Linked DNA regions of Stegostoma tigrinum. The protein of the gene in region 1 purifies or fractionates together with the protein of each later gene. This does not show direct contact. Links are inferred from orthologs where the notes say so. Each region holds a gene or a part of one and is shown in the gene's direction. Other genes may lie near its edges.

What was found. The genes of interacting proteins can lie anywhere in the genome.
Region 2: the proteins of zc3h4 (region 1) and wdr82 purify together in Homo sapiens (affinity purification with western blotting; 4 studies listed by BioGRID and IntAct, with this or other methods). This does not show direct contact. The link is inferred for Stegostoma tigrinum from reciprocal best matches to the Homo sapiens genes ZC3H4 and WDR82.

The regions. Positions count from the first base shown.
Region 1 is NC_081392.1:3,158,146-3,166,054, reverse strand, and holds the start of zc3h4 (zinc finger CCCH domain-containing protein 4), read left to right. Parts: upstream 1-4,384; 5' UTR 4,385-4,594; coding exon 4,595-4,683; intron 4,684-7,909. UniProt on the Homo sapiens protein: RNA-binding protein that suppresses transcription of long non-coding RNAs (lncRNAs). LncRNAs are defined as transcripts more than 200 nucleotides that are not translated into protein.
Region 2 is NC_081364.1:12,376,722-12,385,045, forward strand, and holds the start of wdr82 (WD repeat-containing protein 82), read left to right. Parts: upstream 1-4,881; 5' UTR 4,882-5,124; coding exon 5,125-5,285; exon of another isoform or gene 5,286-5,697; intron 5,698-7,317; coding exon 7,318-7,415; intron 7,416-8,324. UniProt on the Homo sapiens protein: Regulatory component of the SET1/COMPASS complex implicated in the tethering of this complex to transcriptional start sites of active genes.

The DNA.
Region 1 (7,909 bases):
CTGATCATCCGGGATCGAGCAACCCAGTCAACAGATACTTGATTGACCACCTTAAGCATTCACCTCCTCCACCACTGACACACAGTACCCACAGTATGTACTATTATTGTGTGCTTCTTGTAGTACAGAGCTATAACTGGCCATGGGAGAAGCTTCTGTTTTCTTTCCATCCTGTGGCTCTACGGAAATCTCTGCTGTTTTTATCATCTGGCATTGGCATTTGTTGGGATAACTTGCAGATTCATACGCACCCTGTTTGACTGCGTACCTTCCTTGGCCATCCTGAAAGGGTCTCGAACCTAGAGATTCTTGTTCAGTGGCAGAGATGCTACCCACAGTGCAACAAGACTTTCAATATTCATGTATATATAAATTGTTAAAAATGAATATTAGCATTAAAATGCAACAATATAAAAATTTAGGGCATTTTTAGGAATAATGTGAAGGTATCACAGTCTGTACATCAGCAAAGAATACATAGGGTAGAAGCAATATATTTGTTATTTTCAAAAGTGAGAAAAGTTTTGTCATGTAAGAAAGTGAAACCTTAAGACTTTCAGCCCATCAAGTTTGCTGTGCCATTCAATGAGATCAAAGCTGATAATGAAGAAAGGTCATTGCCAAAATGTTAATTCTGCTTTCTCTCCACAGATGCTGCCAGACCTGCTGAGTTTTCCAGCGATTTCCGCTTTTAGAATCATGGAGTCAAACAGCATGGAAACAGACCCTTCAGCCCAACCAGCCCATGCCAATCATGTTCCCAGACAAAACTAGTCCCACCAGTCTGCTCTTGGCTCATATCCCTCCAAACCTTTTCTCTTCATGAACTTATCCAAATGGCTTTTTTAAAAAACATGTTTAACATTGTAACTGTAATCGTCCACCACTTTCTCTGCAGTTTATTCCATACACAAACAGTCAGTGTAAAAAAAAGTTGCCCCGTATGTCTTTAAAATCTTTCTCCTCTTGCCTTAAAAATATGCCCTTTAATTCCACACCCCAGGGAAAAGACCCTTGTCATTCACCTTATCTATGCCTGTTATGATTTTATAAACCTCAAGACGGTCACCCCTCAACCTCCTATGCTCCAGCTTAAAAAAAAAGTCCCAACCTTTCCAGTATATTTTTATATTTCAAACCCTCCATTCCTGGCAACTTCCTGCTAAATCTTTTCTGAACCCTCTCTGGTTTAATAATATGCTTCCTAAAACAGGATAACCAGAACTGAACACAGTAGGTTGGAAGAGGCCTCACCAACATCCTCCATGACCTCAACATAACGTCCCAACTCCTATACTCAAACATTTGAGCAACAAAGGCAACTGTGCTAAACACCTTCATAATTACCCTGCCTACCTGTGATGCAAATTTCAAAGAATTATGTAGCTGAATTCCTACATCTCTGTGCTGCAACACTACCCCAGACCCTATCATTAATTATATTAGTCCTGTCCTTGTTTGTATGACCAAAATGCAATACCTCATATTTATCCTAATTAAACTCCATCTGCTACTCCGCAGCCCATTGACCCAATTATCAAGATTTCTTTGTAATCTTAGATAACCTTCTTCACTATCCACAACACCACCAGTCTTGGTGTCAATTGCAAACCATGCCTCCTATATTACCATTCAAATGACAAAAAAAGTAGAACTAGTACCAATTCCTGTAGAACACTGTTGGTCACAGGGCTCCAGACCGAAAAACAGCTCTCCACCACTACCCTCTGTCTCATGCCCTAAAGCCAATTTTGTATCCAATTGGTAAGCTCACCCTGAATCCCATGTTTGTTTCTGATAAACCTCAACTCCACTTTCCTGCAACAAAAACAGAAAATGCTGGCAAAGAACATAAGAACTAGGAGCAAGAGTAGGCTACCTGGCCCCTCGAGCCTGTCCCGCCATTTAATAAGATCATGGCTGATCTTTTTGAGACTCAACTCCACTTACTCGCCCACTCACCATAACCCTGAATTCCTTTATTGTTCAATAATTTATCTAGCCTTACCTTAAAAACATTCAGCGAGGTAGCTTCAACTGCTTCACTAGGCAGGAAGTTCCACAGATACACAACCCTTTGGGTGAAGAAGTTTCTCCTGACCTCAGTTCTACATCTGCTTCCCTTTATTGTGAGGCAATGCCCTCTGGTCCTAGTTTCACCTGCTAGCAGAAACAACCTCCCTGCCTCCACCTTATCTATTCCCTTCATAATCTTACATGTTTCCATAACATCTCCCCTCATTCTTCTAAATTCCAAGGAGTATAAAGCCAGTCTATTCAGTCTCTCCTCATAATCCAGTGCTCTCAACTCTGGAATCAACCAAGTGAATCTCCTCTGCAGGTCTGTGAAAGATAGGGTTGGAGTGGGAGGAAGAGCCCAAAGAGAGAGAACATTTGGACAGAGAAAAGGTGTGACTAACTAAAGCTCAGCAGGTCTGGCAGCATCTGTGGAGAGAAATCAGAAGTAATGTTTCAGGATGAGTGATCCTTCCTTAAAACGGATGGTAGCCAAGAAAATGATGATTTGTTTTATGCAGAAGATGGGGTGGTGGGTTTGGGGTAAGGAAAAGATAATAGGTGGCTAACAATGGGTTGTGTATAAAAGCATACAATGTGAAAACAAGGCGTGTTATGGGGAGTCCAAGATAATAAAATGTGAGGCTGGATGAACACAGCAGGGCCAGCAGCATCTCAGGAGCACAAAAGCTGACGTTTCGGGCCTAGACCCAGAGAGGTATCACTGTTATGGGGAGGCTGGGTTAAGGATAATAGAGAAGATGCGTCAAGCCCTAAAATTCTTGGTTTAGGCGTTGGTCAGGGAACGTGGTGGTGTGTTGAAGTATCAGGCAACTGGAAGCTCAAGGTCTTTTTTGTAGACAGAACATGTGTTCGTTGTTCCCTGACTAACATCTCTGTCTCAGGTTTGCTGCAGAGCTCCAGTGCAGCTCAACACAAGCTGGAAAAACAGCACTTCATTTTCTGCTTGGGGACTCTACAGCTTTCTGAACTCAATATCAAGTTCAACAATTTTAGGGCTTGGAACACCTTCTCCCATGTCCAAACCCCAGCCCCAACACACCAGGCCTTATTATCACATGAGCTGCTACTGCACTCCACCCATCATTAGCTACTAATTGGAGATGGCAAGAACTGCAGATGCTGGAGTCAGAGAATGACACAGTTATTCCTGTGTCTGTTGAATTTCTGAAGGGTCCTCACCTGACAAGTCAATTTTCCTGCTCCTCTGATGCTGTCTGGCCTGCTGTGTTCTGCCAGCTCTTCATTGTCCACTACTAGTTATTCATTCTTCTGGGCATATCGTTAGTCATACCTTTTCTCTGTACAAATGTTCTCTCTCTTTGGGCTTTCTCCACCTATTGTTTATTTCTAAATCCTTTCTCCCACTCCAACCCTGTCTTCTGCACAAGAAAAACCTTGCTCCTTGCTGCCATCAGATCTGAGGAAGTCATTGAACCCAAAACATCTCCTCTGCTTTCTCTCCACAGATGCTGCCAGACCCGGAGATTTTCTAGCAATTTCTGTTTTTGCTGCCACAGATTCACCACCATTTGAAGGAGAAAGATCCTCTCATCTATGTCTTAAATGGTCAACTCTGAGATTACACCCTCTGGTCCTGTACCAACATATCGGAGGAAAATACCTCTCACCATCAAGTCCCGTAAGAAAACAAGGTATAGAGCTGGATGAACACAGCAGGCCAAGCAGCATCATAGTAGCTGGAAAGTTGATGTTTTGGGCCTAGACCTTTCTGCTAGGCCTGAAACGTCAGCTTTCCTGCTCCTGAGATGCAACTTGGCCTGCTGTGTTCATCCAGCTTCACACTTTGTTATCTCGGGGATTCTCCAAATCTGCAGTTCCCATTGTCTTTGAAACAAGTCCCCTAAAGAATTTCGATGCACATCCTGCTTTAACTCAATGTCATTCATTTCAACGCCCTAATTCTTCTAAACTCCAGTGAGTATCGTAAATGAAAAGTTAGACAAAAGTGGCATGACAATCATTTGATATATCCAATGATACAAACAGAAACAGCCTCCTTAACAGTTACCCATAACACCTCGCGCCTTCCCGTGAATATCCAGGCTATTCGTGAATTTCCGTGGCAATGACGTGCCATTCCACTCCGGAGAGCGCTTCGGGTGTGTTCGACTAGTGGTGACTTCATCGAGGCGGGGCATCAATGTACTCTCCCTCCACTGACGATGCGGACGCTGAAGAGGGAATGGCTCTTCGGAAAGCCCCGCTACCCGCGTTCGTGCATTTCCGTCAGACCTTTTCGTTTCGGCCGTGCGTCACGGCGCCGAGCCGGAGGGCGGGCGCCATGTTGTGGACGGTGTTTTTCTTCCTCTCAGTCAGTGTGTGTAATGGAGAGACACCCGGGGGTCGGATCCGCACAGAAAAGCACCGAGAAAATAGCTGCCAATATCAAAACGCTTAAACAGTAACAACAGAACCGTTTATTTCCTATCTCAAGAATCAGTGAGAGCTTAATTGCAGTGCCCGGTGGTAATTTTTTTTACAATAGGAGAGAGATATATAATTTTTGAGCAGACAAAAGGGAGAGCGAGAGAAAATGTCTCTCGAAAGCCTCACCTCCTCCAACAAGCAGTCCCCCCAAAACGAACACAACAACATCAACCTCACTGAGTCAGGAGACGAAAGGTCGAGTAAAAACAACCTTTTTATCCAACATTTCTCTTTTTATATATTTATATTAAAAAACAAATTATCCATCAATTACCAAGGTCAATTTTTCTGAAGGGAAACCTTGGAAACGGAAGGTAGAGGAATGTAACTGTGGATTAACTTTTTTTAAAGAAGGATTTTTTCTTTATCTCATTCTAAATCCTCTTAAAATTGGTCGCTGGACTTTATATATATATATATATATATATATGTGTGTGTGTGTGTGTATATATATATATATATATATAATATAATTATCCTTTTATATAAAAAGGAACTAAGGGATGATTTAAGGCCTAATCGCATGCTTGGGTGCTGGATTACAATGTGACTATGTCGTTAATGCAAAGGAATTCTTTTTATAGTAGGGCCTATTTCTGTATGCTTATTAATTTTATTTCATTGATGCTTATTCTTTCCTCTCGTCCTTTAACAAAACGCAGCCTAGTTAAAGGACATCGGCAATTGACCTTTGAACTTCGTTTTTTTTACCCAGCGTCCCTATTATAAATGGAAAAACATTTATCATTTATTTTAAACCTGCTTTGAATCTGTCTTGATGTCTTTGTGATCTTATTTTAAATATGCATGACCCATTTTAAAACATGGCTTTGCAATCCCCTCACAAATACAACTACGAGTTTTATTCATTTATAACGTGACTTCTTCAGTTTGGTCCGTTCAAAATCTGTTGTACCTATATTAAAAAAAAGCACCTTGTGTTTGTACAGTATTTGCTGGTCATGATGAAACATTCATTCCTTTGTTTGCAAAGAAAAACAAATTACAACTCATTTGATTGTTTTCAGCGTCTTCAGCAATGAATACTAACTGGTCCCTTGCCCTACATTCTTTTGTAGATCCAGTTTTCTTCTTCTTATGAGGAGAAAGAGGTACAGTGTTGCCATTAGGATTTCAATAAAGTGTAGTGGCGAACATATAAAATTTTAAAAATAGTCTAAATGAACTGAAAACACTCGACAATACAATTTAGATTTTACCCTTCAAATTCAGATTGCTAACTATGGGTTATATAAGTAAATGAAGTACTGGTAACATTTGCACTAATAGCGAGAGTAATTTGTGACATTGTCATTTTCAGTCAGCAGACAAATTAGAACAACATTGAAATGGGAATCAGTCATTGCAGGTTGAATTCAACTGCATTTTTAATATTATAGATCAAAATGCTGCTTTAGTTGAACTCTGCCTTTATCAAAAATCGTTAATCATGAAGTTATTTTATCGATATCCTGGAGTTAAATAACACATACTACCCCCAACATTGACAAAATCATCACATGTCTTGAAATAGGTCTCATCAAAGAAATTTGAGTTACATGTAGAGTTCATAAATGGGGTAAGTACAAACCTGAAGATCTCGATAAATCAATTTCATGTGTCGATACTGAATAGCTTAATCTTTTAACTTGAACAGTGTAGTTATGATGTGAACGATAGTTATTATTGTATCGATAACTGTTTTGCTTCAGTAATTGATGAGAGCGATTGTATTTGGGGTAACATAGAACCTGGCTAGGAATTTGATTGACATGACAGGATAATAATTTATGAACAATAGATATTTAATGAGGATGAGCCACTTTTTTTATAATTTCATTCTCTCTGATCTTGCATTTTCCAATTTGGATCACAGAGCCATCGAAGAGCAGAATTTCGGAATAGTATTGCCAATCTTTACATTAACGTTGAGCACTATTGACAGTCAACTCATTTGCAAAGTCATGGAATTAAGCAAGGAAAGTTTGAAATGCGGTTGGGAAATTTAAGATCAGATTGAAAGAGAAAATTAAATAATAAAATGTAGGTAATTCTCATTAGCTGTTTTTCTTATTTACAAATTACCATCCTGTCATGTTGATTATCTTCTTGTGGATCATAATTTTAAGAGTTAGCAACAAAGCTTTTTTCATTGTTCTTCAAGGAGAAGATAATCTGAGTTCTTTGAATCGGTGCAGAATGTTTGTTTATCTTTGGAGTAGAAAAAGTTATCTCTCATTTATTGAGTTCCCATTTCTGGCACCAGTAATGCTGAGCAGTTCTGAAAAATTGGTGGGGATTAGTAACTCAATCTTGTTGTCTATTAAATGATTCATGACAGTGCCTTTAGACTAGATCAGGTAATGTTGAAGCTAGGATGTGGTGGGAATTTAAGGAAGAGGAAACTAGCTGCATATGGGGAATAATATGAAAGACTGTAAATTATTAGATCATTGTTATGACTCCATCTGTTGGACTTATTTATTAAAATGTATGGTGTATTCCCACTCACTCAATTAGTAAAAGCTGTGTGCCTTTGAGCTGTACAATGTGAAGGGACTAGGCCCGAAATGTCAGCTTTTGTGCTCCTAAGATGCTGCTTGGCCTGCTGTGTTCATCCAGCTCCACACTTTGTTATTTCGGATTCTCCAGCATGTGCAGTTCCCATTATCTCAGATAGTGAGGGCAGTACAGTGCCCCTTTAAGGAGAGAAAATCACATTGATGTTGGAAGTACAACTGCATGTGGACATCACCTAAGGAGAGGATTGGGTTCTACCGTTAGGTATGCATTATGGAAAAATCAACCAACTCTTCTACATAAATAGTAATCTTACGAAGGAAAAGGAAGTTACTGAGAACCATGTTGCAGCTTGAGTATGATGCAATATGTTCAGTAGAGCAGGAGAGGAGAAAATGCACTTGTACACCAAAATAAATTGAGAAAGTTGCATTAATGAACACAGCAGGCTGAAACGTCAAGCTTTCCTGCTCCTCTGATGCTGCTTGGCCTGCTGTGTTCATCCAGCTTTACACCGTGTTATCTCAGATTCTCCAGTATGGGCAGTTCCTACTATCTCTGAGAAAGTTGCATTGTTTTGTTAGTTTTGATAGTACGTTTGAGATTTTGTGGGCAAGTTATAAAAGTTTTGGAAAATGGTCAATAATTGTAATTGTTTAATGTAGCCATAAAGAGACTAATTTGTCTCTTTGGTGCCTGGTGACATATGAGGCATCTTACTTTTTCTACAGCTTCTATATTCAACAGATAATGGTTGTTTCCTTCATGGACATTTCCTGTTTTGCACATGATATGTTGTTAATCTGACCAGAGTTTTGGCCTGGATGTAAGTGGGGATCACAATATTCAGGTGAACGAGTGCCTGAAAAGACTTAACTCCAGTCTTCATAGCCTGGATTGT
Region 2 (8,324 bases), on another chromosome or scaffold:
ATTATTTCATACCGGTAGAAGGACATAGCAGATTAAGAAAGGGACCATAATTACGAAATAACAGGGCACAGAAATATCCAACCGAGATGAGTGATAATCTCTTGCCAAATCAAAAGTTAATTATTAATAGAATACCGGTCACCACTGGAATGTTAATCTTTTTTGGAAAACAATCCTGACCCCAAGTTGTCCTGACTTCTTTTCGACACAAAACAGCGAGCTCGACGTTTAAAAGTTGCCACTGGACTTTTAAAGTTGCCAGGTCTTGATGATAAAGGGATTTTGAAAATTTAGCACCTGGGTGTCAGTTAAGTGTTATCTTCGCTTTCAGCCTCACCTTGCGCTCCAGTCTGGAAACTCTCCTTTTCTAGTATCAACCGCTACACTTGGACAATGTGGAACTGAGGCGCAGGGCGATTTGCAGGAGCAACTAACCCCTTGATCAATGCTCTTAACTTTGGTCCAGCGATGGCCGGCCTTTATCGGCGAAACTGCACCGGACAGAGAGGCTGTCGGCTCATGTGTGGAATGATAAGCGTTGGACAGGCATGCCCTGCCCCTCCTCAATCGCAACACTTCTGTGTTCTCCCCAGCTCCTCCTCTTCCCACCCACCCACTATCTCTACTACTACTTCCCTCACAGCGGTTTACGAAGCAACATTATTTAGTTATTAAAAGTTGCAGAGAAGATGGATCATGGTTGGGGAGGAGAAGGGCGTGGGCGTGAGACCAAATGAATATGCGGTACCCAGTACAATGAAGCACGGGAACAGGACCTTCAGTCCACCAGGATACCATTCTAAATTAAACCTAAAATATTCTTAATTCTGTAGTAAATGAGGACTAATCATTTGTAAATCCTGTTCACGGATCAAGAGCCAAATGGCACAGAGTTAGCTCATGTTGACACTGCTACTTATCATTGCTTTAAGGGCAGATAAAAGGCACTAGTATAGTTTGGTGGTTTGTTGGTCAGCATTGATACGGTGGGCTGAAGGACCTGTTTTTATGCTGTACGATTCTATGAGAAACAGCACTCATACAAGTGTGTGGTTAAGGCAATGTTTCCAAAACTTTTCTTTCCCACTGTGACCCTTGAAATTGTCAAGAGCAGGAAAAAGGCCAGTGATATAGAGGTGGGGAGTTTGAAATTTGCAAAGTTTCATTCAACTTGTGAACCCCATTTGGTGTCCTGGACCCATGCCCTCACTTTGGTAAGCCCTTGGTTACAGACTGCCATCCAGAGTGCTGGAGACAGGTTCAATCAAGCCATCCACTTCGGGATCATGGTTACCTGAAATGGAAGGATGTCAGGGCTGTGCAGAGAAGGCCAGAGGGGAAGAGTGGAAATAGCACCAGGGGAATTTCTTCTTCAGAGAACTAGCACAGACATGATAGGCCAGTTGGCTTCCTCCTAAAATGTAGTTGTTATGTGAATTCATAAGGAGTTCAGAATGTTTTCTTTTATCCAGGCAGTGATATTGGATCACACCATCACAAGAAATAATTTGAAGTGAAAGTTAAGAGCAAGTTGTATTTACATGGAAGCTAAATACACAGGTGGGAGACAGAAATGGAAAGGCATGTTCATTGGGTTAAATGGATTCAATTGGGAGGAGATTTTCATGAAGTATTAATGCTGGCATGGACCAGTGGGCACGATGGCCTGTTTCTCCTCTTCATATTTGTCAATCAGCACAACACTAGGATATTCAATCCTTCTTGGTGTCCCAGTTGTCTAATAGGACATTTTTCTGTACTGTAAATTCTATGTAAAAGTAAATATCAAGCGGTTCAAGGAGATAAAATATGACAGAGTAGATAGAGAAAATTTATTCTCTGTTGCAAGCAAATCATTAAGAATAATTCATTGATTTTAAAAAGTTGACAAAGATATGGAGAGGTAATGAGAAAATGTTTTTCATGCAGAATGTTAGTAGAACCTGGAATCGTCTACTTGAAAAATTGGTGCTAGCAGATTCTAACAATAATGTTAAAAGAGATTTGGTCGAATACTTGAGAATGTCGAACTAGCAGGACAGATAGAAAAAAAGCAGGGGCAGGGATGGGAGGAAAAGTGAGGCATGATGGGCCGAATGGTCTTCTTCTGTGCTGTAAATTTTAAAGATTCTATTACATGCAATAAACTGGAAATAGTGGAAACACAGAACAAGGTAGGCAGCATACTATAGAGAAAGAAAGTTAAAGTCTGAAGTGAATTACATTGTGTTAGGATTTGGAAAATCGAGAGGTGGAGCAGGTTTTAAACAATCTCAAGGACAGGACAGTTTGCAGGAGATGCTGGAATACTGCTAACTACACCAGGCTAGCAATCCGTAGGCCCAGGTTAATGCTCTGGGAAACACAGGTTCAAATTATACCGTGCCAGCTGGTGGAATTTATATTCAGATTATTCAAAATAATTCTGTACTATATAAAGAATATGACAACTATTTCCAATTGTTGTAAAAGCCAATCTGGTTCAATAATGCCCTTCAGGGAGGGAATTTGCCATCCAGTGAGACAAAAGAGAGGCAGGAGACGTGATTAGTTTGGATTTCCAGAAGGTCTTCAACAAGGTGCTGCACTGAACACCGCTCAATTAGATAAGAATCGATGTATTAGGGTCAAGGTATGGACAGAAGATCGGCTGGCTGGCTGAAGGTAGAGAATGGAGAAAAAAAGGTGTCTTCTCCAGGATGGCGGTCAAAGACTAGTGGAATACTGCAAGCATCAGTGTTGGGATCACACTATTCATATTATACATTACTGATATGCATTAAGGAACTGAGGGCATTGTTGCTAAGTCTGTAGATAACACAAAGACAGGGACAGGTAGTGTTACAGAAGCAGGGAGGCTGCAGAAAGACTTAGGCTAGCAGAGTGGACAAAGAAGTGGCAGATGGAATGCAATGTGGGAAAGTGTTAGGTTATATATTTTGGTAGGACCAATAGAGGCACAGACCATTTTCTAAATGGGGAAATTTGAAGCAGTAAGGGACTTAGGAGTCCGTATTCAGAATTCTCTTAAGGTTAACATACAAGTTCATTTTGGTAGTTAGAAAGGCAAATGCAATGGCAGCATTCAGTTCGAGAGGACTAGAATACAAATGCAGAGATGTACTGCTGAGGCGAAATAAGGCTCTGACCAGACCACATTTGGAAGCAGTTTTGAGTCCCAAATCTAAGGATGTGCTAATCTTGGATGAAGTCTAGGGGATATTTACTAGAATGATTCCAGGAATGAACAGCTTGTCATTTGATGAGAGTTTGAGAACTCTGGGTCTGTACTCAATGGAATTTAGAGGAATGAGATTTGAATCTGATTGAAGCTTGCAGAACACTGAGGGGGCTGGATGGTGTGGATGTGGAGAAGATATTTCCAATGGCAGTAGAGTCGAGGACCCAATGACACAGCCTCAGAGTGAAGGGGTGATTCTTTAGAGCTGAATTGTGGAGGAATTTCTTCAGCCAGAGGGTGGAGAATCTACGGAACTCGTTGACACAGGAGGCTGTGGAGGCCAAGTTATTGAGACAGAGATTTGAGACAAGTAGACATTGGTTCTTGATTTGTAAGTAGATCAAAGGTTAAAGGGAAATGGCAGAAGAATGGGTTTGAGAAACATACCAGCCATGAATGAATGGTGGAGCCGACACAATGGGCTGAATAACCCAATTCTGTTCCTGTATCTCACTAAATCATGGTCTTATCTGGTCAGGTCTAATTGTGATTCTAGACAAACTGCAATGTGGTTCAATCTTACCTGTCCTCTGAAATTATCAATGAAACCATTCCATTCAACGGTAATTAGAGATGGCAACAAATGCTTACCAGAGATATCCACTTAGTAAGAACAAATAAAGAAAAATTATAAGGTGAGCAAAGAACAAAATTCATATTTGATATGGTAGCAAGGAGAGTTTAAATAACAAAAGAGATTGTGACGCAGGTAAAAGGGGTGACAATGGCTTTGACCTGATAAAAGATGCAAAATGTGTAACTAGAAAAGCTCTAAATGGAAAAATACAGAATCATCGCTTATGGATGTCATTTAAAATAATGCGGTTAAGTTTATAATCTGAAATTGATGAACTCAGTGCTAAATCCTGAAGGCTGTAATGTAACTTGATGAAAGATGAGCTGTTCCTCAACGTCACGTTTGAACTTCATAGAAAAGTCATGAGATCTCCAAACAAGATAATGTTAGAAATGGGCCAATGTAGGAAACTGAGGTCAGTGTTCAAGTGGAGAATCAAAACAAATAAGTCACATTGCAGGTGAGAGCATGCATATTGCTTGAAAGAGACACATGTAGCTGAAGCTTTTTATCATGTGCACTCATCAAGACAAATGCAAAAATGCCACACGTCAAATGATGTTCATACGATAGGGGAAGGATTGGTTGGCAAGCTGATTTCAGTTGGTCAAATGGTGACATGAGGGGGATGCAAATGATGAACAAAAGCTCTAATGAAAGGAATCCTAAAATAAAGCGTTAAAATAACAAAAGGGAGGAAAGTGTGCAAAATGGAAAAAGAGAATCATCACAGACTGGCCATCCAGTGGAACCGCCCTTTAGCAAAACAGCGACCGACTCAACTCCAGCACCTTGAACGCACATGCGCTGCAAGAGTAGAGCCGTATCTCCCTGACAACCAGGACTGGGCTTTATGGGTAATATCATGCCGCAGACCAAAATGTTGGCTGACGTCATGGTCATTTGCCAGTGGGTGGGTTTTGAAGAAGATGGCAACGGTCATGAGACACCGCCTCCGCCGCCGGGTTGTCATGGAGACGACGGGGGCGTTGACACATCATCTCCATAACGACCGAGGGCGGGGGATTAGGTATTATGGGTAGCGGCGCGTTCGCGCCAACCGCGGCTTGGTATCCACAATGCCCCGCGGTTAGGGTGAAGGGCTGTCGCTTTTGAGTCTGGGTCGTGCGCCGCCATTTTAGTCGTGTTTAAATATCGGAGAAAGAAAAAAATACACAAAACTCTCTCCCCTCAGATGCTCAAAAGAAAAAATTAAAGGCGCATCTCGCAGCTTTTTTTTAAAGAAACCGTCCTATTCCTCCCATCTGTAAGCCCCTCCCTGCACCACCGAGCAAAGAAGAACGAGATGAAGCTGACGGATAATGTGCTGCGCAGCTTCCGAGTGGCTAAGGTATTCCGAGAGAACACAGACAAGATCAACTGCTTCGATTTCTCACCCAACGGAGAGACGCTCATCTCCAGCAGCGATGACGACTCCATCGTTCTTTACGACTGCCAGGAGGGCAAGTGAGTACTTTCACCGCCCCCCCCCCCCCCGCTCTCATTTCAGATCAAAAAGACCCTCCCCTCTCTGGGAGGCCTAGAAATCCCGGCCTTGATTTTCACAAAAGACCCTGAGCTCGGGTTGCGTTGCGCGGTCAGGAGAGAGAGAGTTGGGGGCTGATTGCAGAGCCAGCCTGCGGCGAGGAGAAGCTGGAAAGTAATCAGTTGCCTTGGATTATTAACTGGATTTAGGAAGAGGGCAGTCTCACGTTGGAGGCGGGAAATAGTGATCTGCAACACGATGTTCTGGGTTCAGACCGTCGTCTGTGGTGATCACTAATAATGTCTCTTCGATATGCTTCGTAGCGAAGAGTGCATCTGTAGGATTTCTTTCCCAAATGTTGCAGATAACAGCCATTCAAGGTGGAAATCGTAGCCAAACAAATCACGATGTTAGTAGCCTACCTCGATGCAGAGCACATGCGCTCAACATGCTACAGTTGAGGCAGACACCTTGCATCTGTTTACCGTGTAATTCAGTAAAGTTAACCAGACTTTTATAAATCCATGTAATAAATCCGTAAAGCTGGCACTTAGTGTGACCCAAAATCTGTGCACAGTTTAGGTCTTGTGGTGGAATGTGTAGCGCTCATGTCTCTGAGTTAGAGCTCTGGATTCGATTTCTATCCGCGAACTTTTGATATGTCTGGATTAAGTCCTGTCTGTCCTGGAGATGTGCCATTGTGTGTCAGAACAAGTTGTTTAGCAAACTGCAAGAGAATATGGGCTAGTATAGTGTGGTGTGGTGTAGTGCCACTGTGTCTGGGCCCAAACGTCTAGATTCAAATCCTACAAAAGTGTTACATAATTTTATTCATCCTGTTTAGATATATTATTTTAGAATTGTAACTTGATGGAGAACAAAGACGCATCAATAATGAATTTCAGAATTTAGGCCCTAAATAGCTGAAAGCATAGCCATTCAAGTTTTGAAGAAAATATACATAGTAGATCTGAGAAATGGAAGGGACAAGATTGTAGAATGGTTACCACATAAAGGGGAACTATTTATTTATATTTTAGTGCCCTAGATGCTGTTTTTCATGAGAGATGTAGTTTAAGTCTTTTTGAAGAAAATTGACTTGTATTTGTTTTTGCCTTGTATTCTTTGCATTGTGTTTTTCCTGTGACAGAGTTTTGTGGTCACTAGACTTCAGTATGTAAATCTCAACAGTAAGTGTTGGCAGGTTAATCCATTATTACAGGTGGCCTCAGTTGAGTATGTTATTGTTGTTCTTTATTGTCCCTCCATGCTGATTTCCAGCCTGTCGCAGCTAATTCTGTAAAATTGATGTGTAGCCTTATATTAATTTGAGTAATTCAGTTTATAAAATAAGTGTCATTCTGATAGAGAGCTCTGAATGTTATCAGGATATCTGAGTTACATTTTAAAGTAGTAAATTGTTTGATCGTCTCCGACTAAGGTAGAGGATGTCATAACTGCTTCAGTACCTGTTGAGCTGTGTGGTTGGCACTGAGTATGATGTAAGAGGTTTGCAATTTCCTTGTTTTCTCTTCACAGTAATGATGCATGTGGTTTGTGATTTTTGTTGGTGTCGCTGTTACTGAAAATCAGGTCAGCTAATGAGTCAGTAAGTCATAAGGTGTCCTTTAGTTGACCTAGTTTATTTCCTTTTTATGGATGGTCTTGTAACCAAGCCGTAGTGTTTCTGATTCTGGGTCAGAGGTATGTCAAAAACATGCCTGAGCAGGTCCATTTTCTTGTGGTCAAGAAAATACTTGACTGTTTTAACAAAGGACAGCATTATATGTCAGTTAGTTAATCAGTTACATACAGAAGCATGCATCGATGATTTTGTTGCCTTTTCTGATATTTGGGCATGACTACATAAGGGAGGCCTTGAAACTAGACAACAGTAAAATTTGGAAAGAACAGTTATGTGAACTTCTCTGCAACAGTGTGTTGAGGTTAAATTAGACATCTTTTCTGATAAAACTTAACATCACTTAATGTAATTTCTTTCTTACCTGTCAGACCAAAGAGGACACTGTACAGTAAGAAGTATGGGGTAGACCTGATCAGATACACACATGCAGCGAATACAGTGGTTTACAGCTCTAACAAAATCGATGGTAAGTTAGCTTGTGTTGTACAGATCTCCAGCTGTTTAGTTTCTCTTGCTGTGAACTTCTCCAAATCTGGGACATCCTTTGCATCTCTGCAGAATCAGGTTGTGGTGTAAAGTTTGTATTTATCTGTTACCAGTACATTAACAGTTTTTATAGAATTAATGTTTTGCCAGTTTAACACAACAATAGTTTGTAACTTTTTATTTTGTTTGTTTGGAAGTCTCGCCACCTCTTAAAACATATTTGATCCTTTGTTCTCAGTTTGCCATTGTTTTGGCTGCCTTTATAATTTTTCTAAAACTTTAGACCTGCCTGTCAAATTGCTGGGGGACCAATGTGTATTTGCATTTGCAGTTTGGTTTTGAAAGCAAGTCAGTCTTTTTATTATTTCCAAATCAAAATAACTGTGAATTTGATTTTAATATTTCAATTGATCTGGAAGTTGAAATTTGTAGATTAGAAGATGTGTCGAATTAATTAACTTTTGAGGGGGAATAAACCAGCAAGAAATAGAGAGGAAGAATGTAATTTTTGGGGCAGTTGTTTTCTATGCAAAGTGTTGATACTATTTGAAAGGAAAGTAACCAATACCTTACTACCTCATTGAAGTGGGTGTTATTTACATGAGACATGCCACCAAACTATCTGATACGTTTTAAAGGAGAGAATTGTGATCATCACAATGGAACCTCGTCAAATTAGCTATTTTCCTTCTTGTACACAGGGACACTTCACAAGGATGATGTTGACTCAGTGTGGTCTGATTCTTTGCTTCCTTTTTTGGCCCTTTGATCGAGGCCTCCAGCATGGAGGGTATGGCAGCCGGTTGTGTTCAATGCCTCACTAGTTAGGCTTGGCTTCCTCAGTACAGAGTGGAAATACAAGCATGCACGCACTTTATTATGACAGCTT